Yarrowia lipolytica: one gene and its partner. The protein of the gene in region 1 interacts with the protein of each later gene in a pairwise test. Links are inferred from orthologs where the notes say so. Each region holds a gene or a part of one and is shown in the gene's direction. Other genes may lie near its edges.

Evidence for each region. The genes of interacting proteins can lie anywhere in the genome.
Region 2: the proteins of YALI1_C31281g (region 1) and YALI1_A21720g interact in a two-hybrid assay, tested with the Schizosaccharomyces pombe proteins (2 studies listed by BioGRID). The link is inferred for Yarrowia lipolytica from reciprocal best matches to the Schizosaccharomyces pombe genes mdv1 and nup44.

What each region holds. Positions count from the first base shown.
Region 1 is NC_090772.1:3,124,545-3,131,663, forward strand, and holds YALI1_C31281g (uncharacterized protein), read left to right. Parts: upstream 1-3,556; coding exon 3,557-5,311; downstream 5,312-7,119. Other genes in the region: YALI1_C31252g (uncharacterized protein), read right to left, coding at 1-703; YALI1_C31299g (uncharacterized protein), read left to right, coding at 5,419-5,557, 5,608-5,726; YALI1_C31308g (uncharacterized protein), read left to right, coding at 6,257-6,336, 6,402-6,627; YALI1_C31315g (uncharacterized protein), read right to left, coding at 6,674-7,023, 7,066-7,081.
Region 2 is NC_090770.1:2,167,946-2,175,006, forward strand, and holds YALI1_A21720g (uncharacterized protein), read left to right. Parts: upstream 1-4,015; coding exon 4,016-5,602; downstream 5,603-7,061. Other genes in the region: YALI1_A21654g (uncharacterized protein), read left to right, coding at 1-107; YALI1_A21696g (uncharacterized protein), read right to left, coding at 234-1,664; YALI1_A21711g (uncharacterized protein), read right to left, coding at 2,645-3,112; YALI1_A21746g (uncharacterized protein), read left to right, coding at 6,587-7,061. UniProt on the Schizosaccharomyces pombe protein: Functions as a component of the nuclear pore complex (NPC).

The sequences.
Region 1 (7,119 bases):
CCGCGAGTATTGGACCGCCGTGAGCGACGGCCGGGTTACCGGGTCCGTGGCCGTGGTTTTTGATCCGGTTACGCGATTTGATGACGTTGGTTTTAAGACTGATGGGGCGTGCTCGGCCGTGCAGCTTAAGGAACAGGCCACACGCGTTGCAGAGCACCTGTCCCGCCTCGTCACGTCGCCAGAGCGGGGTGGTGGAGGTCTGGCAGTTTTGGCACACGGGCGTGAGCGAAAACTGGCCCCGCCCGTTGTCCTTGTCCTTGGATGGGGCGATAGGCGCATCCGACGACCCAGCGTTGGGCGCGGTGGAAGAGCTGGCGCCGGTGGGGGTTACGGAGGCGGAGTTGGGGGTGGCAGAGTCGCTTCTCGCCTCTCCTGCCGTCTCGGACGTGTCGTTTTTCGGTTCGTTTTTGATGTCGCTGTTGGTGTTGGTGTTGACGTTGGCGGTGGCTCCGTTCGTGCCACCAGAAGGAGAGGGACATGTCGAGGCGTTGGTAGAAGGTGGGGGGTTAGTGGTGGGGTTGGAGGGAGCGCCAGGCGCGGAGGGCGCGGCGGCGGACCCGGTTGTGGGTGGCTCCGCTCCTCCAGCTTCTCCAGCAGTCACTCCTGGGGCTCCCGCTTGTGCTTCCTCGCCCTCGACCTTGACCTGGGGCTCAGGGCCAGCCCCGACAACAACCGGCGTGAAACCCATTGTAGCAGCAGACATAATATTCCTTCACGTGGGGCGTTCTATCCAAATCCTCCGCTGTCCAAGCCGACTGTGGGGTTTTTGTGTTTCAAGGTGATGCAAAATTTTCCTATCGCTCACTATCGGCTATTTTGGTTATCGATATCATCCCGATTGGGATGTGGGTAGGGGTTGTGGTAGAGTTAGTGGGGAAATGAACTCGAAGATAGAAGATCAATTTTAGACGAGTAGATGATAATGTCCGTAAGATGTAAAAATATGTATAATATTTATTGGGACGATCTTCTAATTTAGATATTTTTAAATTTCTTATATCTCCAGTTTTGAAATTTATATGGATTTAATTCTCCGTTTTCACACCAAGTTTCTTTCTCCCAATACCCCCTTTAAACACTCACGTGAGTCCCAAACTTTATTGAGAAGACTTTGCAAAATAATATCTGTAAATTCGGACAGCGATTGAATCGCGGTAATAAGGGTATCATAAAACAAGTTAAACCGGGACGATTCCAAGTATGTATTTTTTCCACATGTTTTCCCCTCCAGCGCTCTTCTACACACCCCTCAACCAAATGGAAACCTCCAGAACCTAAACTTCAAATTAAGGTTCCATCAACAAAGCACATAATCATGTGACAGTGCAGATTTTAATCTTCTCTTATTGGTCAGTGCTAGATAGTGCACGTATTGCGTGATAAGAAACAGCGTGAAACGGGCCAATACGAAGAGAAGAAAATTCCCCAAAAAATCCAGGACATTCTCCTGCGAGATCAAAACTCACTTGCGTCAAATCTGCGATTTTCTGACCAAGGTTGCTATTTGTTTGCGCTCTTTTTTCATCTCCCCCACCTTGCACGATAAGATAACCTATCTAGAAACTATAAATTTGAAGGACACGCGATAGGTGATAACGTCACGTGATAATAAAGAGGATGGAGATAAACCAAAGTCGATGGGGAAGACGGCGGGGATTTCCAAACAAGAAATAATCAAATACTAGCACGTGAGGAGAGTCTGAGGGTGAGGGGGTTTCAATCACGTGACTCGTATTGGTGTCAGGGCAATTCTTCCAAGTTTTTGAAATCCCTGTAGGGTTATTGGTTACCCGGACATGGGGGAGGCTGGTGTCAAAAAAAAACATACCAGCCGTAAAAACTTTTACCCGGAGGAGGTAGGGTAAATGTTGGTTGAAAGCAGTGGGATTAGTAAGGAAAAAGAAATGTGAATGGAAATTTTGAAGGAAAATTAATTTGAAGGAAAATGTGACGGAGAAATTTGACGAAAAATGCGAAAGGAGAACTGTGCAAGGAGAAATGTGAAAAGAGAAATTGGGAGAACAAAAACTTGTGTACTTGTTGGGTGGTATTGGAGATATGGGATAACAGAAACGGTCTATTAGGATTCTAGATATGATAAATCCAACGGTCAACTCCTCGCTTTTGTCGGAGGCGCGATTCTCCTGTTATAAGCCATACTCTTCTCTCACAACGGTGTTGTCATACAATGATATAGCTGTTTTGGTTACAGAAATACCAGTGTCCATGTAGGTCGAACCTTTTGTTGCTTGGTATGTTGACTCTTTCTCCTTCTCCTGTTTTGATTCTAACAGACTAACTGTCTGTCTCCAATACTTGTAAAAGTCGTCAGTACAGACCCAGCTCTGCGGTCAATGAACAGACACAGTTGAGGACTCAAGAGTTCAAATTCGTGTTAAAAAAAAAAGCATTCAAATACACTCAAAGTCGCCTAGCTTAGTCATTCTCTGTCGGTGGATCTTGAGAGCCCGTGTTGTATGTTGTTCAGACATACGTTGATGGACACAACAGAACATAACGGTGTCTTGAACAATAGCAAGAGTTTTATAAATCTCGCCAAATGGATGTAGCCATTGGTTGAAACGTTCATTGAAACATCTCTGATACTTCCTCCTATCGCCAGAACATGTTTATGACCATCCAAAGGCCTCCTTTTTGAAAACAAAAGTCACTAGTAAACTGCCCTACCACAGCTTGGAAACCTGGGAAATTATCATCTGGCGAGATCCAGTGAACAGTCTGGCGACATAAAATAACTTCATTCTTCTCTTCAGCTCGATATTGTGCAACAAGCACATCATAGCCAGAGTCCTCACTGCTGAACGCCCGTCCTCTACAATTAATAGAGCCATTGACAACCTGGAGACTTAACAGAAGTCCTTCTAGCATCATTTGCTGCCATATTTAAAAAAATCAGCTCTCTGCCACAATTTTTCGAGCTCGATTGTAAGAGTCGAACCAGTTTTCAAAAACCTATCTCCGCCTAGTTGGACTTTAGTTAAGACTGAAAGTGACCTGGGGGTCCAAATAATGGGTTCCAGGGAAGCGACCAAAACATAACCACTACCATTCAATTTAGCTCTCAACGCCTCATTTCCTCATCCCAAGTTCACCCTACTTTCTCATACAATATTTCCACATACTCGCACTTCCGTATCCGGCTCGTACTCAAATTTACTTATCCTGTACTTGACCTTTCCCAACAGAATCCCAACAGAACATATCCACCAAGTCATAACCTATCCCGATCCAAATCTACACACATTATGTTTCTCTCTCTCTCTTAATTGCTCATAACCTGTAGTTGGTCACGTGCCTTATCACGTTCACCGAACACCAATTATTCCACACGCGCGAGCTGAGGTTCATGCATGAGTGCCCATCCAACCACATTTGATTATAATATTTAGAGTTCCTAGGGTGGACTTAGTAATCGTAGACGGGGCCATTTATCTGGCGATGTAGTAGTCCAAATACAAAAATAATTACATGGCCATTTTCTCCTCATTCAGATGTTCATTTTGATACCCCCAACCCCCCAAATTGTCACACCTGCATGTTCACATATCAGATCCTCCAAACCCCCACCCCAACCTTTCCTCTACACACAGCAATGTCCGACGTAACGCATTTTTCGAAAGTCGTGGCGGCCACGGCGTCGACGTTGGTGTCGGGCGATCTGAGCCAGAGTCACGTGATGCGCGACATTTCGCGGCCCGCGTTCCAGAAGCGAATTTTTTCCTTCTCGAAGCGGCCGTCCGAGTTGGTTCGCATCACCTCTTCTTCCAAGGACGTTTTGTTGCCGGATGAGATGCTGGTGGACATTCCCAGCAACGAAAATCAGTTTTCGCTGTTTCAGGGCTTCCAGGCCACGCTTCCGGAGCACTCTGTGGGCTCTCAGCTGCTTCTGGGGGATGGATCAAAAGTCGGCGAAAAAAGTGCTCGAGAACAGCTGGTGGAGGGCAAGAAGAGCCTGAGTCACAAGCTGGACTTGTTGGAGGTGCGCAAGGCACTGGCGGCAAATGAAATCACCGAGATTGACGCTCGAGTGGCGCACTTGCAGTCCATGCGACAGATTGTGTTTGACAGAGTGGCGTCTTTGGAGCAGCAGGAGTTCCAGCTGGAAAGTGAAGTGCTGCGAATCGATGCAGAGCTGGAACAGATGGAGGAGGAGAAGGAGGAGGTAATCCAGAGACATGATTACGAGACCCGAACCCCGGAGGAGTTGGAGGATGATGTGGTCGATCTGAAGAGTGTGTCTGAGAAACTACAGAGCGCAAGTCAAAAGACCCTTCCCCGACGAAACCTCAGCCGACGAAAAACGCAACCCACTCTGCAACAGTACTACGAGCCAGGCAACAAGATCCGACAAATCAAAGCGCATTCCGATTCGGTCACGTGCCTGGACTTTGACATTCCGTTCGGAACCATGGTTTCTGCAGGCATGGATCTGGGACTCAAGGTGTGGGACCTGTCACGTGGCGATCTCGTGACCGATCTCAAGGGCCACAATGCATCAGTTACGTGTCTTCAGGTCGACAATAACGTGCTTGCCACCGGATCAGCTGACGCTACCATTCGGGTCTGGAACCTCGACCAGGTGGTTAGTAATCCCGATGCCCAGGATGAAGGTGATGATGCCTACACCATTCACGTGCTCGACAGTCACGTGGGTGAAATCTCTGCCATTCATTTCTCAGACCATACGCTGGTGTCTGGTTCTGCTGACAAAACCATTCGACAATGGGATCTCAACACTGGACGATGTGTTCAGACTCTGGACGTGATTTGGGCCAATTCTGCGCAGAATGCGCTGTACTCGAACGATCGGCTCCGAACCGGGTTCGACGCAAACGCACCCTTCATCGGCGCAGTGCAGTGCAGAGATGCAGCCCTTGCCACCGGTACCGCTGACGGTATTGTGCGTCTTTGGGATTTGCGGTCCGGACAGGTGCAGCGAACCCTACAGGGCCATACCGCTGCGGTAACGTGTCTGCAGTTTGACGACGTGCATCTTGCAACCGGATCTCGTGACCGGTCTGTTCGAATCTGGGATCTGCGAATGGGCAACATCTTTGACGCGTTTGCGTATGATTCGCCCATTACTTCGTTGGATTTCGACAACCGAAGAATCGCCAGTACCAATGGAGAAAACACCGTCAAGATTTATGACAGAGCAGCTGAGAAGCATTGGAGTCTGGGTCGAGGAGAGGGAGATCCCGAGGCGCCAGAAAGCACGGTGGTGAAGACCAAGGAAGGCTATTTGGTGGAAGGTGGTGGAGATGGAGTGGTGGGTGTGTGGGCCTGTTAGTACTAGCGATGCGAGTACTAATAATTTTGGGATCATGAGCGGAGCGAATTGTTTCATTTCACGGGACATTGTGAGCGAAGCTAGGTCGTGGAATCGTGAGAAGACAAATGGTCTCAACTACTCTCATGGGTGCCACCGAAAATGAGCGGAGCAGAGGCCCTCAATGCTGCCAGAGATGTTTGCTGTCTTCACCATTTGCAGCAATGAAAATGGGTGGTGTAGACTGTGTCTCGTGTCCGGAATCATGTTGACAGTTGGTGTGAGGCAGACTGAACTTGCCCGTTACTGCTACTCAGCAGTTGATGTTTGGCTTACCATAAGAGTGTCAACCGCCCCACAGTTTTCTTTCCAGGTGTTTTTACCCACAGTCAGCTATCCAGGAAAAGCCCAGAGAGGCAATATGTATATAAGATAGATTGAGTGTGATGACCGGAAGTGAGTGGCTCAAATCCACCAGATAGCAATTCGTAAACGTGTTGTAGATTACTGGTGATACCTGAACTGGTTATAGAGTATACCCCACGGGATATAAGGCACTAGAGAGCCCCAATCGTCAACTGAGTCAGTTCTGAAAATTTTTTTTTTTTTTTTTTTTTTTTTTTTTTTTTGCTAGGAGTGATAAGATGTGGCCCCTATGTTGTCTCGGTGGGTCCCATGACTCCATCTCCACCAACTCCGTATTATCAGGTGCTCAGTCACTAGTCATTCATTGCAAGAACCAATAAAGAGCACTGGCGTTGTACTAGAAGAAGCGACACGGTAGTTATTTTGACCCTACCGTTTTATCAGTGAAAACTTGGTCTGTAGTCCAGTGGAGAGTCCATGAATGGGCATATTGAGATCTAGCTCCAATTGGATGAAAGATGCACTTTGAGGGACCTTTTTGGTATTTTTTGCATGTATTCGGATGGACGTTCTTGCCAATCGACCACCCTATAGTGGCAAATGAGGCCTGGTAAGGTACAAGTATTATTTCATCGGTACATCTGCTGGAATTCTACTGAATCTCCTTCCACCAACTCGTAGTTTCTTGACTAAATGGGTGCATCATTTTGTGAGCATGAAAAGAAGGAACGGAAGATGTCATTAGTACATTGAGAAAACTCCCCCGTTGCATCCAGCATCATGGAGGCACTCTCAAATCAACCCATATAACTCATGAGCGTCATTGTCCCATATCGACACAACTTTCATCGATTGTAACCTCATTTCAGCACATCATCTTGCCGGTGCATTATCTCGCATTATCTCTGCACACTATCTTGGCTCTCATCTCTATCTACAGGCCGCCGGTTATCGACGTGCAAGCTTGCTGAACTCAAGACATGCACGTTTCGACACGGCCTGATTCCGCTGCTAATACTACCAGTAGCAAAAGAGTTGTCTCGTCAGGATAACCGTTTGACTTTTGGATCTTGTACTGTCATACAAGATCCCATGCGGCTCGTGGCAACATGTCGCACTGGCTCTCGCAATGTTTAACGACAAAGTGCTGCTTCGAGACTCGGGGTCTGGGAGATAGTCAATATGGACCCTGAAAAGGTCTTGTGCCATTAAAAGGACTTGTGCCAATGTGGACTTGTGCCAATGTGGACTTTGAGAACGCCACAGGCGACGTCCGGAAGTAATTTGTATTGTTCCACCACAATCAAGTGGTCTGTTTAAGAGTTTGTGCGTGTGTGGGCACCAATTAGCCACAGGGTTGTGGTGGCCTGTTCACAGGCGGGTATAACTGGGTATTGCTAAGAAGCCACGAAAAATGTAGTCCATGTGGACTTGTCAAGAGGAGCGGGCAAGCTACCGCGGCG
Region 2 (7,061 bases), on another chromosome or scaffold:
CTGCCGTGACCATTGCTCTTCGATGCAAGCGAACCATTCTTGCCGAGAAGATCAATGAGTTGCGAGAGAAGGATGAGGCTGCCAAGAACGGTAAGCGAGATGACTGATAGGAGGTAAACAACAAGCATGGGAACATATATATACTGTAGGATTGATTAATTATAAGAAAATGAGTTAATATACAGTACTTGTAGTAGATGTACACAGATGAGTTGTAGCAGTGTAGTGTTAGTCTAATCTTTACATCCCTTGAAACCGAAGGAGAAGCCTGCTCCCTTATTGTTCTCTTCAAAGGGAGGAGGATCGTCAGAGAAGTCGTTCGTTGTCTTCGTGTTTGCAGGCGACTGGTCTTCTCCAAAGTTGATACCACTGGATGACTGAGTATTCTGGTTGCGTCCGAAGTTTCCGGCGCTTCTTGCTTCCATCTTTCCTGCTTTGAGAATAGTGTCGATAACGAACCTGCCGTCGAATTCAGATGTGAAGAAGTTGTAATCGAATGGCTTCAGGTCAGACGGGAGAGCTCGGTTCGCAAAGAAATACTCAATGTAAGCTGTCTTTGTGACGACGTTTGCAATCACGGGATTGGTCACTCCGAAATCAGCGATACCGGCAGCCTGGTACATGTGAGCACCAATCTCCCACATTCGGTAGGAGAGCTGGACGTGGAGTGTGGGCGAAGACTTGATCTTGTTGAACGATTTGAGAACCGTGTTGACAATCTGGGATGCGTAGTCAAAGGTATGTTTGAACGACGTGTAAAAGGCCCAGGTGTAGACCATATTGACCTCGTCAGCCTCCGAGATCTTGGCTCGTTTCCAGTATGAAGCACATCGTTCGATTCGATTGAGTCCTCGTTTGATAGCCATGGTACTTTCGCTCTTTTCGCCCACGTAGTAGAAGAATGCTCGTAGCCAGTGTCTTCTGTAGTATTCAGCTTCATAGGCTAGACTGAACCCTGTAGCTCGCATGAGATCGGCTGTGAAGGCCCGTTTGTTCTGTAGAACGTCGTCCAGTTTGGTCTGAATATTCGCCACAAACTTCTCTGAGAAGCCAAACGACGGCATTCCGGCCTTTCGACATTTGTGCCACGTCTTATCCGTCTTGATTTCTTCACTATCTCCGTCCAGATCCACCATCAGCAGCTGTGTGAACCACTCAACTTGTTTCTGGATGTCTTTAGTGGTTCCATTGAGTTGAGAATCAAGAAGAATCTGTTGGTGAGAAGATACGGGGAAGAACTGTTTGAGCACCTCAGTCACCAGAGCAGCGTCCAGGGGGAAAGACTTGTCCTCCTTCTTGCTCTTTTTGAATGGCCACAGTTTAGACTGAAAGTGGGCCTCTCGACACTCCAGTAAGAGCTGGAAGATGGGCACTTGACCCACAAACTCGGACTCTTGAAATGCAGCAAAACACGACTCGACGAAAGTCACAGGATGTTCGGTTCCCTCTTTGAGACTGGGAAGCACAGAATCACCCGTGTTGTTGTACAGTTCTCGAGTTTGGGGGTCTCTCAGAATCTGGTAGGCGTAACTGACGGCTGACAGGGACTCCAGATGATGCAAGCTGTAGAGAGTCTTGTTGAGAAACGCCTGGTCAATCTGCTCTTGCGTGGAGTACGGAGACGTCTCCAGAAGCTGGTGGAGCTTCAGGTTGACGAGCGACATGTCTCTTTGAGTGAGTTGTGAGGGTGGCGGCGGTATGGAGTCTTCAGCAGCATGGATGCATTTATAGCAATATCAAGGTTTGAAGCCATCACCGCCACAAACAAAAAAAAAAAAAAAAAAAAGGGCATTGAGCGAATGTGGACGGGGTCTTTTTATTTGCCAACATATGGTAGTGAATTTGTGAAACTGGTCACGTGATATTATCTGGACTATTTCTTTTCTACTTGAGTATGTCATTGCCCCTTGCTGTGACTGACATACTGTAGGCTACAAGTAGGCTACAATGTAGTGGTAGGTCTCCGTATTATCGCCATCTTGGTGCATGCAGGTGATTGTTTCATGCACTGACGATGACCCAAGCAAGTATTTCACATGTCCATTTTGTAGGGTTTGCGCGAGAGAAACTTTTTGAAAGCACGTTTACTGTGTATGCCTTGTCGCCAGATGTTCTTTGTCACCTCCTGTTGTTTATAGGCCCATTTCATCATTCTAAATACAGGCGACCTTTTCGTGTCACGCTTCCCTTTTTTTCAACTCAATCTTGAAAACAGGGTGCTCCCTCAGTTTGTTGAGGATTAGTTAAGACAAAGATCAGCTAGGGGTTCATTTTCGGTGTTGCGACAATGTTGGGATTCTGGATAATACACTGATACATAGAGGGAAGCTGTGTTTTAAACAAATTCTTGAAAATATATGTATGTTCCGATACCAATTTTTCGTAATATCTCCGTTATTGGACTTGCCATTTCACATGCTTTGTTGAAAGTTTGGTTAACTTTTACTTTAGTTCGTTTATTCAAACCCAGCCTTTTCTACAGTGGTATGATCAAGCTACAGTATGGACATACTATGCAGTCATTGTACAAGTACAGCTACAGCAGTGGGAAAGAAGTCATATTGAAGCTACCTTGTTGCGCTCTGCAACCCCGTTTATCTCTAGGCATCATACATTCCACCTCAAATCAATATCATGTTATCATTTACAGAGTACCGTTCTTCTTAGCCTCGGCGTAAGCTCGAACAGACTTGAAGTCATCAACGGCAGGCTTGATCCAGGGATCCTTCTTGAGGAAAACGGGCTCCTCGTCGGGTCGCAGACCAGGGATCTTCTTCTCGAGGTTCAGCTTGGTGAAAACACACTTGTTGAGCAGAGCCTCGGCCTTTCGGCAGCCACTGAGCTGGTGGTTGTTCTGCTCCAGACACTGCCAGTGGAGTCGGAACTCGTCAAGACAGCTCTTGTTGATGTCCTCAATGACGGAGACGGCACATCGGGTGACTCGTCGGCCCTCCTTGAGACAGTCGATGGCGCCAGAGCCCTGGGACTCTTCTCTGCACAGCATGAAGTCATCGTTGTAGGGCTTGCACTTGGCGCCAATGAAGTAGGATGCAGACAGAAGAGGAGCGGAGGTAGCTCCAACCTCGACAACGTCGGGCACGTTGTCGGGCATGTTAGCTTTGTCCTCAAATGGGACCCAGTGGGCGGCAGCTTCTCGGGGCCTGCGTTAGTGTCTAATTATGGTATAGATGAGATCGGAGTAAAGACTGAGGGGTTGAAGGGACCTCACTCCAACAAGTAATAAGGAGAATTGACTCATGGCAATTGGTGTATCATGATGAGGTTGTTGGGTAAAACATTGTGGTTGTGTCGACAGTAGTGCAGGACGTTCTTGGTGTTTGTGTTTAGTAAATGAACTCATGTCTCAAGACGCCAAAATTGATCATCACAGGGTCTAAGAATCACCGTCATCAACCTGTTCTAGTTCCCTGGCAACTCTTGCTCCATCTTCACATATGTCCTTATCGTACCGTGCACCATGTCAAAAATTCCACAACCCCACGAATGGCTCCATAATTCGATATCCTCGGGCACAAAAACCATCCATGTTGATTTATTGGCGTTTATCTCCCTTGTCCACAACATTTCGGCTTTTCAAGACTGTCGGAATGCCCGTCATAAAAACGTATCTCGCCATGTTCCATGATCTCAGCCTACGGAGACCAACAAAGCCAAGTGGGTCCAATTCCCGGCTCGAAACACCCTCATTTGACTCCCTGGCGTCCCTTATCACCTTCCCCAGGCCCTCCTGGTTTCCCTGGAATACTCACATTTTGATGTGTTAGCTGATGCTCAAAGGCTTACTACAGTCTACATTTCTCTCACGCAGATTGGTTGATGGTTCCGTCGGCCGGGTAAGTGGGAGTTGTGGTTACTAAGCTTTGGTTCTGCCACTACGGTATTTCGTGTGTGTTGTGTGTTTGAGGTTTATCACTTTTAGACTTTGTAGTGACGCCGGGTGCAACTACATTTTTATCTATATTGCGTCTGGGCAAAAAACAGAACCACAGGCATCATGTTTGGCAACACCAACCAACAGTCAGGCGGCTTTTCGTTTGGTCAAAATAACACCAATTCGGCCGGTAACAACAACGCGGGAGGAATGAGCTCGGGATTCAAGTTTGGAGCCGGCTCGGCAGCCACTAGCAACAACACCAACTCCTCAGGAGGAGGACTGTTTGGCCAGAACAACAACAACACGTCTGGCAACACGGGCGGTGGATTGTTTGGCCAGAACAATGCCAACACTGGAAATACCGGCACCACCGGCGCCTCTGGCGGTCTGTTTGGTCAGAACAACACCAACACCAACACCAACACCGGAGGAGGCCTGTTTGGAAACAATGTCAATACAAACACCAATACCAACACCAACACCGGCGGAGGAGGTCTGTTTGGAAACACCAACAATGCGAACACAAACACAAACACTGGCGGAGGATTGTTTGGTCAGAACAACAATAACGCTACTACGAACACCAACACAACTGGAGGCGGACTGTTCGGCCAGAACAACACAAACACAAACACAAACACGGGCGGTGGGCTGTTTGGCAACAACGCCAATACCAACACAAACACCGGAGGTGGCTTGTTCGGTAACAACAATGCCAACACAAACACAAACACCAACACTGGAGGGCTTTTCGGAAACAACAATGCGAACACCAACACTGGAGGAGGGCTCTTTGGCAACAACAACGCCAACAATGCAAACACAAACACAAACACGGGAGGGTTCTTTGGAAACAACAATGCAAACAACAACGTGGGCGGTTTTGGTCAACAACAACAGCAGCAGCAGCAACAAGCTGGTTTCGGTCAGTTGACCAAGACCAATCAGCCCTCCGGTCCTTCTGTTCAGGCCCAGCTGACCCGAATCAAGGACGGATGGGACCCCACCTCCCCCAATTGTGCATTCCAATTCTACTTCTACAACCGAATCCCTCTGGATGATATTCCCTACTACCAGATGCCACAAGGTCAGTCTCCTGAGAAGTGGGACAAGGCTGTTGCTGAGCGACCATACAAATCGTCTGTGCCTGTCCTGGCCGTGGGCTTCACCGATCTGCAGAAGCGAACCAAGCAGCAGGAGCAGCAGGTCGGCGTGTACCGGGTTAGAATGCATGAAGTCAACAACAAGCTTGACGAGCTAACCAACAAGCACGATCTTGTGACTACCGTGAAGATTGCCGAGATGCGGGCTCGTCACCAGCGGCTCGTTAACCGAACTGTTGCTCTTGCAGCAGTTACCCAGGTGCTCCGAAACCGTGGGTATGTCCTCAAGCCCGAGGAGGAGGTGCTGCGAAAGAACCTCGTCCAGCTCAACGACAAGGTCACGGACCCGGCTGTGTTTGGCCGAATCAACGAGATCTGGGCACGTATGTCTGTTCTTAGAGAGCAGGCACGGCACGCTACCGACTCGCAGTCTAAGAAGGCTCCCGATGGCACCATATTGACATGGGAGCGGGACGAGGAGACTTTGGAGCAGTTGGCCAAGATTCTCAAGGACCAGCAGACGGGTATTGCATTCCTTGCCAAGGTGCTCAAGGAGGATATGGCTGAGGTTGAGAACAAGATCTCTAGTCTGGAGAAGAAATAAGAACAGTAGCTGGATCCATGTATGATAGCTACAACTAGACCATATTATAATTTTATACTGTACAATGTATTTCCCTTTGTCATCCCATGGTGATGCCTAATAATATGTACATGTATTCACACTATATTGAGAGTAGTTTAGAATCGACCCTTGATGAGCTCGAAAGCAAAGGGAGCTGAGTTAGTAAGGGAGTAGAAGGACAGGCTGTTCGTTGTGACCACCGATTGATATGTCTCATGATTGCTTTTCGCCACATAAATAGTGTTGTTCAGTCACATGGAGGGCGGTCGTCTTGTTGTGTTGCCAACTGTGATGTGCCATCAATACTCACCAGTCCACAGACCAATGGCGAGGTACAGAGCGTTCTGCAGGGTTCGCTGGGTCATGAGGTTGTACTTTCGAATATCTTCGTCGGAAATCTGGGGCTGGCCACCGAACATTGTTGATTGATTTGGATATTGATGTAGTCTCGCTGTTGTGAGCTACTTAGTGGTAGAAGTATTTTAAGAACCCTAACCTGAAGTTTGACTGAGTGGGGGTGGGGGGGGGGGAGTATGATGACGCTGTTATTTCGTGCTTGGTCGAGATGTGGGCAGCTCTTGAGGCTACAAGTACTGTTTGTTTGGCTATTTGTATCTCTCTTTTACAATTTCCCTATTTTTGGAGCATTTATGAGAATCCCTTTGGTGTGTGGTCTATGGGTCTTTCTTTGGTGGGTTCGAAGAGTATCGAAAGTTGGGACTTGTCTTACGTAACGCATCATTTGGATGTGTGATGGTGGAGGTTGTCAAGTGTCTGAAATTACATATAATAAGCTGTAAAGCTGTCATATAAGCAAATAAGTGACTCTGGTTCGACTGAGGGGTTTTTTGACCGTCGCAAACAACGCACTCGTTCTACACTATCGTCTCCTTTCTAACCCTAACCCCGACATCATGTTTTACTTTGACCAACATCCAGCAACGCCATCACCATACCGACACTATGAGTGACACAGAAAAGCCGATCAAGTCTGAGGAGCCCGTCGACGAGGGCGTGGACCGCGTTGACGAGGAGGAGAATGTTGAGGAACCTGCTGAGGATGTTGGAGAGGCTGCCGAGGAGGCTTCTGAAGCCCCAGAAGAAGCCCCTGCTGAAGCTGCTACTACTACAGAAGCTGCTCCTGCTGACGACGATGAGGACGACTCGGATCTGTCTGATCTTGATGAGGATGAGATCAAGAACGCCGCTATTGAGGACGACGACGACGACTATAACAAGCTGAGCGCCCACCGACGAAAGGTGCAAAGCTCAGGCAAGAAGACGCTCAAGAAGCGAGCCACCAAGGACTCGAGGGCCGCGGACGACGATGAGGACGAGATCGATCACTCACATATCGATTTGGACCCCAGCATGGCGCGACGACGGGAGATTGAGGCTCGGATCGACGCGGCCATGAAGCCTGCTTCTCAGCGACGAA